Canis lupus familiaris: one gene and its partners. The protein of the gene in region 3 interacts with the protein of the main gene of each other region in a pairwise test. Links are inferred from orthologs where the notes say so. Each region holds a gene or a part of one and is shown on either strand. Other genes may lie near its edges.

Evidence for each region.
Region 1: the proteins of USHBP1 (region 3) and PRC1 interact in a two-hybrid assay, tested with the Homo sapiens proteins (2 studies listed by BioGRID and IntAct). The link is inferred for Canis lupus familiaris from reciprocal best matches to the Homo sapiens genes USHBP1 and PRC1.
Region 2: the proteins of USHBP1 (region 3) and FAM110A interact in binary tests that used the Homo sapiens proteins (3 or more experiments, as listed by UniProt). The two-hybrid records come from large-scale screens. The link is inferred for Canis lupus familiaris from reciprocal best matches to the Homo sapiens genes USHBP1 and FAM110A.

What each region holds. Positions count from the first base shown.
Region 1 is NC_049224.1:53,738,582-53,742,731, forward strand, and holds the start of PRC1 (protein regulator of cytokinesis 1), read left to right. Parts: upstream 1-1,350; 5' UTR 1,351-1,362; coding exon 1,363-1,421; exon of another isoform or gene 1,422-1,689; intron 1,690-1,953; exon of another isoform or gene 1,954-2,080; coding exon of another isoform or gene 2,081-2,091; intron 2,092-2,922; exon of another isoform or gene 2,923-2,937; coding exon of another isoform or gene 2,938-2,960; intron 2,961-4,150. UniProt on the Homo sapiens protein: Key regulator of cytokinesis that cross-links antiparrallel microtubules at an average distance of 35 nM. Essential for controlling the spatiotemporal formation of the midzone and successful cytokinesis.
Region 2 is NC_049245.1:20,607,904-20,612,053, forward strand, and holds the start of FAM110A (protein FAM110A), read right to left. Parts: upstream 2,801-4,150; 5' UTR 2,557-2,800; intron 1-2,556.
Region 3 is NC_049241.1:45,884,096-45,888,351, reverse strand, and holds the start of USHBP1 (Usher syndrome type-1C protein-binding protein 1), read right to left. Parts: upstream 2,801-4,256; 5' UTR 2,664-2,800; intron 2,383-2,663; exon of another isoform or gene 2,325-2,382; 5' UTR 2,251-2,324; coding exon 2,197-2,250; intron 2,100-2,196; coding exon 1,951-2,099; intron 1,738-1,950; coding exon 1,299-1,737; intron 1-1,298.

The DNA of each region.
Region 1 (4,150 bases), on a different chromosome or scaffold from region 3:
GGAAAAGCCAATTCAGAGGTCAAAAAACGGAAAGTGGAATTGGTTAGGGTTAGGCCAACATTCTCTTTCTTTAGGGAAGGGGGATTGACTAAATTTTTCTCCAAAAGCCTGTCACCTGAGTCTTAAGACCAACAGCCGCACTATTCGCCTTTAACTGCCTGACAGGTGCCCGGTTCTGCTGTTTGTTACAAAAGGTTACCCGAAGGAGAGACATCTTCCAGAAAATAAAGGATAGAGTCCACATTTACTCACCCTTTGATGGGAGGTCCCAGGTTTTGGCACCAAAATGATACGGGAGAGCTTGGTTCTTATGGAGTTGAACGAATCTCCAGGACAACAGAGGGAGCAAAGCCATAGAGGTTTATTAAGCAAGATAGAAAACTCTCAAAAGTGAGAGGGGTCCTGACAGGGTTGCCACTAAGGGCTTTTATGTTTTGTTTTGTTTTTGTTTTTTTAAGATTTTATTTATTCACAAGAGACACACAGAGAAAGGCAGAGACATAAGAAGAGGGAGCAGAAGCAGGCTCCATGCGGGGAGCCCCATGCGGAACTCGATCCTGGGACTCCGGGATCACACCTTGAGCCAAAGGCAGAGGTGCAACCACTAAGCCACGCGGGTGTCCCTATGGTCTGTCTTTTATAGGGAACTGACCAGGAACTTGGTAAATTTCTTATCCATATCAGGGTGGACTTGTATATATCATGTCTTTATTTAGAACAAACATGGTGGACTTGTAACAACAAGATGTTTCTTTGTAAACATCATAAGCACAAACAAGTGTTCCCTTCTCTCTGGTTAAGAGCTCCTCCATATTTCTCTACATCTGGGGTTTCTGTGAGCCTAGTAGCCATTAAAGGGGAACACCCCCTAACATTTTGGAACTAGGGAGCCAGGATTTTTTGGTTTTTTTACGGTCTTACCTGTTTCCTTCGGATGGGTAGGAGCCTCTGGGGCCTTTTGGTGTCCTTGGGGTTTATGGGAACCCACAGATTCCTGGAAGCCTGACTCTAGACCTTTCCCTTATCTTTTCCTACCTAGCCCTGTCTGCTCCTAACTTGTTCCTACATCAATATCATGCAATTGTGAATCACTGAATACAAAGTTTTATATAAACATTTAGGGATGGAGCATATGTTCAGGGAAAAAAGGATACCCTGTTGGGACCCCTCTCTCTCACTTTTGAGAGTTTTCTCTGAAGTGCTATTATCTGCTTAATAAACCTCTATCGTTTTGATGTCCATTTTGAATTTTAAAGTTTTCACCGAAAGAACTATGGCAAGCATATCTTCTTTTGTGTACCAATCATGTGACCTGGGCAAGTCCCTCAAGACTTCCAGAGACGGATCTCTTCCTACGTAAGAATGGCGATACTACAGAACGCGGCTGCTGTGGAGAGTAAACGGGATGGAGGTCTAGAAAGGTGCCCGGCCCGGGAGAGGGGAGCAGGGTGCGGCGTTCCTTCCCCTGCCCTCGAGCGCACGGCTTCCCGCACCTGGGGAGAGCTCCCAAATACCAGCTCCAGGCTGGCCACCTAACTGGGCGTGGGAAGCGACCTAAGCGCCAGGCTTTCCCGCAACGCCAGCTCCTGCCGCAGGGCGGCCGCTGTCCCCACCCCTTCCCGGCGGCCTCAGGGGGCTGCGCGAACTTCGAAACCTAACTGCGCCGGACGGGGTGGGGTGGGCATTGGGCAGGATCCCCGGCGGGGCGGGGCGGGGCGGGGCGGGGCGTCCCTCCGGGCCGGCTCCACCCGGCGCATGCGCAGACAGCGACCTCCGCCGTCAGCGGGAGAGCCATCGCTTCCCACGCCCACCGCGGGAACCGCAGCTCAGAGTCCCCGCGCGTCAGGACGCAGCGCGCGCCGGCGGCCGCCAGGGGGCGGGGCTTGGCGAGGAGCGACGGGTCTTGGCGCCAATCGCTGGGCTGCTCCCGCCTTCGGGCTCGATTTGAAATTCCGCGGAGGGCTAACGGCTCGGAGCCCCGGCTTGGAGCGGGACTGTGGTGCGTGTGCGAGGTTGCTGCGCTCAGCTCCGCGTGGAGGAGGTCTGGGGCCTCGACGGTCGGCTGCTGGGAGCGTCCGCCATGAGGAGGAGGTGCGGGTTGCAGGAGGGTCGAGGGAGCGACGCCTGGCCCGGGAGCGGGGGGCCCCGAGGCGGCCCCGGGGCGCGGGGGCGTACGTGAACGGGCGTCGAGTGCAGCCGGGGCGCGGCCGGCGGGGCTGGGTGGCGCTGAGCTGGCGCAGGTGCGAGGGGCCCCGACGCGGCAGGGCAAGGCCTGCAGTGCCCCGGGCCCGGCGGGGGCCCCCCACACCCCGACGCCCGGGAGGCCCCGACGCTCCAAGTGTCCGCGAGCCCCGCCCGCCCGCCCGCCTGCCTCCCTCTCAGATGCTGCCTCTCGGCTCGGCACCGGCGCAGCCGCTCTTGGTGGGCCGCTCCCTCGCCTCTCTTTAAATAACGCCGTCAGGTCGTTGATCCGCGTGTCCTCCGCGGGGTGGGCTGCCGCGCCAACGTCCCCGACTTGGACAGGGAGCCGGGTTCCCTTGGGAGTCCAGAAACTCCACTGAGGAGTCACTCGCCACGCCGAATGTCCGCTGTCTCTTCACCGGTCTCTGCTCCGTTTTTCCCTCCGTAGCACTTACTGCCCTTTACTGGAAGGTTTGCTTATTTGTCACTTTTTTTGTTGTTATTAGTGTGCAAACTCCAAAAGGACAGAGATGTCACTTTTCTAAAATAATAATACCAAGGGTATAGGGCTTTTGTGTGGAGAGTGGTGAAGACGTTAGCCCTACTTTCTGAAAGCGGTGGGTGAGGCACTGAGATGATTCATTACTGGTTGGTAGTTACTGGTCAGGCTGATCATTCTGTGGCTGTAGAAGCTGCTGCTGCTTCCCTAATTTCGAATTCTCATCGTTCTTTTTCAGGTGGCTTGCCTTCCAGAGAATGGAAAATGAGTACAAATCATGGTACCATTGTAAAAACAGCCAGGGTTTTTTGTTTTGTTTTTAAAGGTTTTATTAATTTATTCATGAGAGACGCAGAGAGAGGGACAGAGACAGGCCGAGGGAGAAGCAGGCTCCATGCAGGGAGCTCCATGCGGGACTCGATCCCGGATCTCCAGGATCACGACCTGAGCCAAAGGCAGATGCTCAACCACTGAGCCACTCAGGTGGCCCAACAGCCAGGGTTTTAAAATTAATGTCAGTAACTGCTGTAATTTATTTATTTTTAAAATTTTGTTTATTCATGAAAGACACAGAGAGGCAGAGACACAGGCAGAAGGAGAAGCAGGCTCCACGTAGGGAACCCCACGCGGGATTCGTTCGGGGTCCCCAGGATCACACCCTGGGCTGAAGGCAGCGCTAAACCGCTGAGCCACCAGGGCTGCCTAGTAGCTGCTGTTATTTCTATTAAAAAAAAAAAAAAAAAAAAGCACATAATCTGCAGTTTGTTTTGGTTTGTGACTTAATTGAAAAACTTAGATATGTTTACTAATTAAGTTAGCTAAATTAGGAGCACCTGTGGTACCTGGGTCCTGGGATCAAGGGATACAACAGACTCCTTGCAGGAAGCCTGCTTCTCCCTCTGCCAATCTCTTGTTTCTCCTCTCTCTCACTCTCTCTCTCCCTCTCTGTGTCTCTTATGAATAAATTAAAATACAAACTTAAAAAAAATTAGCCAAATTACTTTTTACAGAATTAAATGACATGAGATTTGTAGATCTCGGGTCCAATTAAAACCAAAAACCAGGGATCCCTGGGTGGCGCAGCGGTTTGGCGCCTGCCTTTGGCCCAGGGCGCGATCCTGGAGACCCGGGATCGAGTCCCACGTCGGGCTCCCGGTGCATGGAGCCTGCTTCTCCCTCTGCCTGTGTCTCTGCCTCTCTCTCTCTCTCTGTGACTATCATGAATAAATAAATAAAATCTTTAAAAAAAAAAAAAAAAAAAAAAAAAACCAAAAACCAATTATCTGTACAGCAAATGGACCACTAACCTCCAGTGGATAGGTGGGCCACTAACTAAAAGCACTCTGCAGATAGTTGTTAAAATGAAAAGGTTAACCACCCCTTGGATTCTGTTACTTGAACAAATCTTAATGGGCCAGTTGGAAGATGGGTGTTTGGAATTAATAAATCTTCTAGTTCTCCAGTAGTTTT
Region 2 (4,150 bases), on a different chromosome or scaffold from region 3:
GCTTCGACGTTTATAGTTTTCATGACATTCTGCACCCCCCACCCCACCCCTTCCTTCCACCTGCTTCGCTCTTTCCATTCGGCAGAAGCCAGGCCCTGACTTGGGTGGAGACAGGGAGGCCCTCACCTGCCCCAGAGGAGGATCAGGAAGGCTCCAGGCAGCAGGGAGGGGGCCAGCCAATAGGGCAGGCCAGCTCGATTTCAGCCCAGCTGTCCGGGTCAGAGACACCCAGCTGGGCATCCTCCAGGGCCACGCCAGGCTCCGTGCTATTTCTGGAGTCTCCCCAGACACTCATGCCCTGACCTGCTTGCAGTGGGCCTTGCCCAGGGCACACTTGCACACATCTCAGAAAGAGAGAGGTGAGCGGACTGAAGGAGGGCTGTGGGCACAGACGCCTGAAGCACTGATCTTCTATCGGCCAGCGGACAGCTCAGCTCCACCAGCTCAATTATCTGTGCCTCAGTGTGTACCTGAAGTTGCAAAATGAGGACAAACGGGCTTGCAGTGGAGACAGAGACTGCATGCAAAGCCTCAGGGAAGGTCCTGGCTCACAAGGATAGTGAAGGTGGAGGTTGGGGTAGACTCCGGGGCAAGCCCACTTCCTGTCCTGGACTGCCTTCTTCCCAGACCTGAGTTTGCCATCATGGCTTCTTATCTTGGCCCAGAGAGGTGAAGAAACTTTCCCAAAGTCACACAGCAAGTCAATGACAGATCACAGATGGGGCACTGGTCTTATGATCAAATATATCATCTATAATGATTCATATGTATATAATGCAACCAGATGATATATGCCCATGACTCAAAATTCAAAAACTATGAAGAGAATGAAGTAAAAAACAAACTCTTTCCCACCCCTGTCCCCAGCCACCCAGTTCCCCTCCCTGCAGGTGCCACTGTAACCAGACAACTGTGTGTCCTTCCAGGGAGATTTTAGGCAGATCAAGCAATAATGAGTATAAATTCTTTCTATTTTTGTACACATATGGCAACATGCTGTGTGTACTGTATTCACCTTGCTCTTTTTACTCAATAATACATGTTGTTTTAATAATGTTAATATAGTATTAATTCTAATATATGTATTAATATACTTAATAATATATGTTGTCCAAAAATATGTGTGGTGGCACATCAGTAACATAAAGAGCTCGTCAGCCCCTGCTGATGACCATTTAGTGTGTGTCCAGACCTGCCCTATTACAAACCAGCCTGCGGCGTCACTGCACCTACATTGCGTTGCCTAGAAGTGAGACAGCTGGGCTGAGGACGTGCTTGTAATCGTGACAGAGACGGTGTACTGTGTTCCATAGAGGCCATGTGAGTTGATCTCTACCAGCAGAACACGCAGCAAATAGTAACAGTTAGCTTTAGGGCACCTGGGTGGCTCAGTCGGTTGAGCTTCCAAGTCTTGGTTTCCATTCAGGTCATGATCTCAGGGTCCTAGGATCCAGCTTCCCCTCCTCCCCCCTTGAACTCCCCTGCAAAAGGAGGATCTGTTTCTCCTCCCCCTCTGCCTCTGCCCCCTCACCCTCAATCCCCCAACCCACTCCCACACTCCATCTCTCTCTCTCTAAAATAAATAAATCTTTAAGAAAATAATAACTGTTAGCTTTAGTTATCTTGATTAGAGGTTTTGGCACCCCTCAATTTTGCCCGGGAGGCCACCTTAGCCCCTCCTCCTATCACATTCCAGTGGAAGAAGATATCAACTCCCTAATAAGTGAAATACAGAGGACATTAGATGGGCAAATGCCACTGAGAGAAACAAAATAGACAAAGGGGAGGGCAGGGCATGGCATACAAAGTCAATAAATATTTGTTGAAAGAATAAATGAAAGACTTATTTTCTTTCTGAGTTCCCAGAGCATCCCCAGGAGTCAGGGCCTGGTCTACGTATGCTGCTCCAGCCAGAGGTGTCAGCAGCCCCATCCTGAACTCCAAAGTCTCTGCTGACTAGTGGCTTAACGTTCAGTGGCTGCCTTTACCCATTTCCCCCAGCCTGGAGCAGATTCTCAAGAATCTAACAGTGGTTCCAGGGCCAAAGCACCTGCTGCCCACCTAGCACCTAACCAAGACACGTCGGTCCAGTCGGATCCCCCAAAACAGCCCTTTGAGATGGCACTGCGATTCAGTACCCTGTGGGCAGAAGGACCCCAAACGAGCCCTGAATCCAACCTCTGGCGTCCTAGAGAAGGGAAGACAGATGCCCAGAGGGGGCACCCAGGGGGCAATGCAGGAGCGGCGCAGGAGGTAGGTGATCCAGCCTGGGCTCCAGGGCATAGCAGCCTTGCAGGCTGAGGAGCTGACCACCAGTTGAGCGTCTGGACCTCTCCAGGCAAATCTGGGTCTACCCAGACTGGAGATTTCGAGGTGGAGCTGAAAGATGTGAACTGGATTCTCAGCCAGGGATGGGACACTTGCCTCCGGGCGCCTCAGCGTTCTCCTCGGTGAAATGGGGTACCACCTCCTCCCGCACGTACGACGCCGGGAGGACGTATACAGCAGGCGCTCGGCGACCGGACCCCCTCCGACCCAGACCACCCGCCCCCTCACCTGAAGCCCGAGCTCGGCGAGTCCCGGCTCCGCCCGTGCGGGTCTTGGAAGAGGCTGACAGCTCGGACCCGGGCTGGGAATGGCCGCGTCCAAGGCGGCTCGGTGCGCCCCAACCCGGCGTGGGGGCCCGCAGGGGCCTCCTCCGAGCGGCTGCGCGTACCCGAGACGGACCGGGGCACCAGGCTGTCCCCAGGCCCCCGCCGGCCCGGAGGTCCCCGGGGCGCAGAGGAAAGGGAAGTGAGCTCGCCGCTCTCCCCCCGCCGCCCGAATGGTTTGCCCCGGACATCCTGATTGGCTCCTCGCTTCCGTTCGAACGCCGCGCCGCCTGGGTTGCCAGGCGACCGCTTAGCTTGGGCCCCGCGAGCGAGCGCCCAGCCTCGCCCCCCAGCCCAGCGCCGCTCTGCCCCGCCGGCCTGCTGCTCCCGCGGCCGCCGCCGCTCTGGAGCCTGGTTCTCTCCCTTGGCCAGGCCTTCCTCCCGGTCCCCAACACGATGAGGCGCCCTTTGGGCTCCCCAGCTAGTCTCCAGGTCCGCCTTTGCAGCTCGCTGTGTGAGCCCGGGCCAGCCCCTTTCTCTCTCTGTTCCCCTACGTGCTCAGTGGGAAATTGTGAAATGTGCAAACCCAGCAGTCCTGAACTTTACTAAGGAAATGACCAAAGATATGAGCAAAGATTAATATAGCCCAGCGTTATTTGCCATAGCAAAAGAATGGAAATAACTCCAATGCTCAGCAAAAAAAAAAAAAAAAAAAAAAAAGGATTGGTTATATAAAGCCATCCTGCGGAAGAGCTAAGTTTATCTAGCCTTTTACAAATGCTGGGTCTCTTCACATGACATAGCTCCGGTCAGTGCTCATGGCATAACCCTTTGAGATAGGTACCCTTAATTATCCCCACAGTCCCGATGACTGTAATGCAGTCATTAAAAATGATGTAGTTAAAGATATTTAAAGTATGAGGAAAATGCAAAGAAAGCTTTTTAAAAGTATGTTTCAGGGATCCCTGGGTGGCGCAGCGGTTTAGCGCCTGCGTTTGGCCCAGGGCGCGGTCCTGGAGACCCGGGATCGAATCCCACATCAGGCTCCCGGTGCATGGAGCCTGCTTCTCCCTCTGCCTGTGTCTCTGCCTCTCTCTCTGTGCAACTATAATATAAAAATAAAAGTATGTTTCAAAGCACTATGTACACATAACTACATATTAAGTACATAATTGCAATGTCACATGTATAATCATTTATAATAGCAGTTCATTTCTTTGTTGTGCTTTTGTGGATTTTCCACTTTCCAACACTTAAATATGTCAATGGAAAAAACCACAGGTTTTTAAAAAGGATTCGAATAAATGAACTCTAAGCACCCTTTGAGATGAGGAAATTTCACAGCTGTGAGTCACTGTTTGGGTCTAGGGCATTGTTGAATCTGAAGCCAACCTGTTTTCTAATCCAGATGGAGACTTTCATTCTTTGGATTGTCATTGACTGAGCACTTACTATATACATATTTTGGGCCAGTGGGGGAGGGGGACTAATCACCAGCTATCACTAGCTTACAGTGATTGCTCCTTCTGGCATGGGCACCAAACAAATCAGAATAGATA
Region 3 (4,256 bases):
ACTTATATTTGGGATCTAAGATAAAACAAAACGAAAAATTGAACTCACAGTTATAGAGAACAGAGTGGTGGGTGCCAGAGGCAGTGGGGGTGAGGAGAGGAATGTGGGTGGGGGTGAGGAGAGGAATGTGGAGCGGGGATCATCTTTCCCAGCCAGGAAGTGGGCCCCACCCCTTAGGCTGGGCTCTGGTGGCCCCATATCTTGCCACCTTGGCCTGCCCAAGATGAGGGCCTGTTCCCCCATCTCCTTCAGCCACATGGCTTTAGATTCCATCCACATGTTAAAGAGGTCGGGATGTGTTTCTCTTGTCCTGACATCTCCCCTGAGCTCTGGATTCTGACCCCACAACTGTGTCTTTGATGGTCCTACATGGGTGGCTCAGGGGTTTCTTGAACTCATTAGGGTCCCAACAGCTCCTGGTCCTGCATTTCTGGCTCCCAGTCCCGCAGGCCCCCAAACCAGGACTTGTCCTCAACCCTTCTCTGGCTTTCACACCCAAACCTGCCAGCTCCACCTTCGACACCACCCAGAATCTGCCCACTTTGTGCCACCTCCACAGTTTCCACCATCTGGTGTCTGGACCAGTGCCTCGCGGATCCGCCGGCTGTTCCTCCCATGCCTACCAGAGGGCGCCTGTGACCGCGGCACCAGGTCCCGCCCCTTTCTGCCGCGGGAGGGCGAGGGTGGGGGGGCGAGGGGGAACCCCCCAGGAGCCCACCAGGCTCAGGGCCAAAGCCCAACTCCCAGAAGCCCACAGACCGTGTAAATCTGCCCCCATCACTAACCTGCCCTCCCCTCACCCCCACACTGGCTTGCTCACTGTTCCCTGACTCACACTCCCACCTCTGGAAGGGAGCTCCTTCTCCGCCTGGCATGCTCTTTCCCCAGATCCTTGCATGGCTCCTCCCTTACCTCCTGGCTCAAGTGTCACCTCCTCAAGGGGCATCTCTGACCACCTTATCTAAGAAGGCAAGGCACCTTTGTTCAGGGCTCTGCAGCAGTCAACGCTCCATAAAAGTTTTTCTCTTTCTTTTTTTAGATTTTATTTATTTATTCAGAGGAGACACAGAGAGAGAGGCAGGCTCCCTGTGGGGAACCTGATGTGGGACTCGATCTCAGGACCCTGGGATCATGACCTGAGTCAAAGGCTCAACTCAAGTCAACCACTGAGCCACCCAGGCGTCCCTCCGTAAGAGTTTTTCTAATGAACAAACAATGGAAGGTTGCCTATGCCAGGCCCGCCTCCCCCTTAGACAGAGAACCCTCAGAGGTAGAGCACAATACGTCGAGACCCTCACCTCTCTCTGCAGCATCTCCTTCTCCCCCTGGATGGCCTGCAGGGAGGCCTGCGTGCGAATCAGCTCCTCCTCTCGGCTGCCCAAGGCCAATCGTAGCCAGTCATTCCTCTCTGCCAGGCTGGCTGCCTCCCTCTGGCAACCACTTGCCCCCTCCTGCTCCAAGCAGGGCCTTGGTCCCACCTCACTTCTGTCCTCTGCCTCCCCGGGCCCAGGACAGCTGGGGGGCCGGCGGCGCCAGGCAGCCGCCGCCGCCTCCAGGGAGCTCAGAGCATGCTGGAGAACCTGAAACACGTCAGAGGCTTCAGGCCTGGGGGGGACAGTCTCCCCATCCTGTGGAGCTACATCTCTGGCCTGGTGGCCTTCCTCTGCAGGCTTGCGGGGTCCCTCGGGAGATGGGGCCAGTCCTCTGCTAGAGTCCCCCTCAGCCTCTTTGTTGGTCCTGTGGTGAAGTGAGAGACAGAAGGTTCTGGAAATGGGGTCATCTGGGGTGGCTGGCTCACAGAGGGTGCATTATCCGGGGCCTTGAAAGTTGGGCAAGGAGGGCAGTGGGAAGCTACGGCGTGTGTGTGAGCAAGGGAGGAACACAGGTAGATCTGTGGGGAGGAAAGACACACCAGGGCCGGAGTGGGAGCCCAGACGGAGGGGACCTTACCTGTTCCCAAGGCCCTGCCCACTGGCCTCTGCCTCTGGCCCCTGCAGCCTCGGCTCGCAGCTCTCCTGAGATGGCACAGGGCCCAGCTCAGAGCTCCCGCTGGCTGCCTCAGCCTCCTCTGAACTCTCCGCCACGGGATCCAGCTCCCCCTGAAAATGACCCACAGGGCCAAGCTCCGAGCCAGGCCGGGGGCGAGGGGGTGAGTGACCCCAAAGAGCTGGATGCGGCAGGGAAGGGGGCACTTACAGGTGGCGCGTGCCTCCCTCGCCGGCTTCGGGGTCGCGTGGCCCGGGCACTCATTGCTGTCCAGAATTCAGTCCTCTGATTCTTTTTCCGAAAGCCGCAGCCTGATCTCGGCTCTTGTCTTTGTTGGTCTGGGCGAATGACAGCCTTAATACCTTCTTCTATGAAATGAGCATCGATCTCCTCCCGCTGGGAGGGATCTTGAATTACCAGTGTTGAGCTGGCACATTTGAATACCCCTCCTGACAGGCAGCTCACTACCTCACAAGTTTGTTCCCACCTCCCCTTGTCTTTTGCCTCCTTTATCTTTCACTACCTCTGTGCTCCCCTCGGTCCCCAATCTGGACCTGGCTCGAGGACTTCAAGAATCACCTCTCCTCCCCAGGGTCCTCTTGAGTCGGAGGCCCCAATCTTGGGGTTGGGTCCCCTCAGCCTGCTCTAATGCTACTCCTCTGTACCTCTAGGAATACCTTGGTCAGCAGCCCAAATCCCTGGACACTCTTGGGGTAGCTCTGGCCACTGCTTGCTTAGGCCCCGGGCTGGCCAAGGCTGGCTTGGGAGAGGCCGGGAAACAGGAAGCCCCCTCCCCTGGTCATGTGACTTGTTATTGTGCTATTTCCTCCTCAAGGACATCAGCTTCCTCCAGTCCCGGTGGGACACACATGTCCAGCTCCTGACCTGTCGGTCCTTCCTTGCCCCAGCCTCCAATCTCATGTCTCTTCCGCCTCTGAGCCTCAGTTTCCTTATCTGTAAAATGGGGGGGGGGGGCTTTAATTATAGGATCTGTCTACAGTGTCATGGGAATTTTAACAAGCAACTTGCACATGACTGAGCACCATCCAAGAACTGAATTGTAACACACCACTCTTGTTCGCTGCCTCTCCGGCCCTCCCATCTCTGCTTCCTCTGCCAGCTGCTGCTTCTCCTGGATTCCTCAGGGCACAGATCGCCCCTACATCCTGCCCATTTTTCCTGCATCCATCTCTAAAGGGCCTCGTCATCTCCCTCCATAACAGCCCAACCCTCTCCCCTCTACCGGGATGCCAGCCCCTCTCTCTCCGTGGACTCTACAGCCACCCACCCCTTGACTCCCTTCCCCTCCCAGGCCCCAGAGACAGAGACCTCATTGTTCACCTCTTCTGCTCACACACCCTCCATGACTCCCCATTGCCCTTGGGAAACATTTCAAGCTCTTCTACCCGGCATTCGAGGCCCTTAAAAATAATGCCTGCTGTCTGCACCCATGTATACTCCATGCTTTAGCCATGATGACCCCTCTGTGAACAGGTGAAGGTTCACAATTCTCACATCCCAGGGCCTTTGGTTATGCTGTAACCCTTTCCTTGTTTCTGCACTTGGCTTATTTTTTATTTATTATTTTTTAAAGATTTTATTTATTCATGAGAGACACAGAGAGAGGCAGAGACATAGGCAGAGGGAGAAGCAGGCTCCCTGCCGGGAGCCCGAAGCAGGACTCAATCCCAGGATCCCTCGGGATCAGGACCTGAGCTGAAGGCAGCCGCTCAACCACTGAACCTCCCAGGTGCCCCTACACTTGGTTTAAACTGCGCAGAGCCTGGAGTAGCCTGAATCTTCCTCATTCCGCTGACAGACAGAGGAGGCTGAGTCTTCCTGCTTCTGCGTCCCCAAAACTGGTAAGGAAATAAGTTGCAATTCTCTGACTTGGGGGCACCCAGGCACATTGAAATCTACACTCTTAGCCTCTGCTCCAGCCATTTTTTTAAAAAAAGATTTTATTTATTTATTCATGAGAGACACAGAGGCAGAAACAAGGCGGAGGGAGAAGTAGGCTCCCCGCGGAGAGCCTGATGTGAAACTTGATCCCAGCATCCTGGGACCACCACCTGAGCTGAAGGCAGATGCTCAACCACTGAGCCACCCAGGCGCCCCTGCTCCAGCCATATTAACCTCTTAAAGGTTCCATCGCTCCAAGGCTCTTGCAAGTCTCAGGACCTTTGCCAAGGCGATTCCTTCTTTCTGGAATGCCTTTCATATTGTTTTTCTAGCAAGTTCTCCATTCTTGTAGACTTAGCTTGCATAGC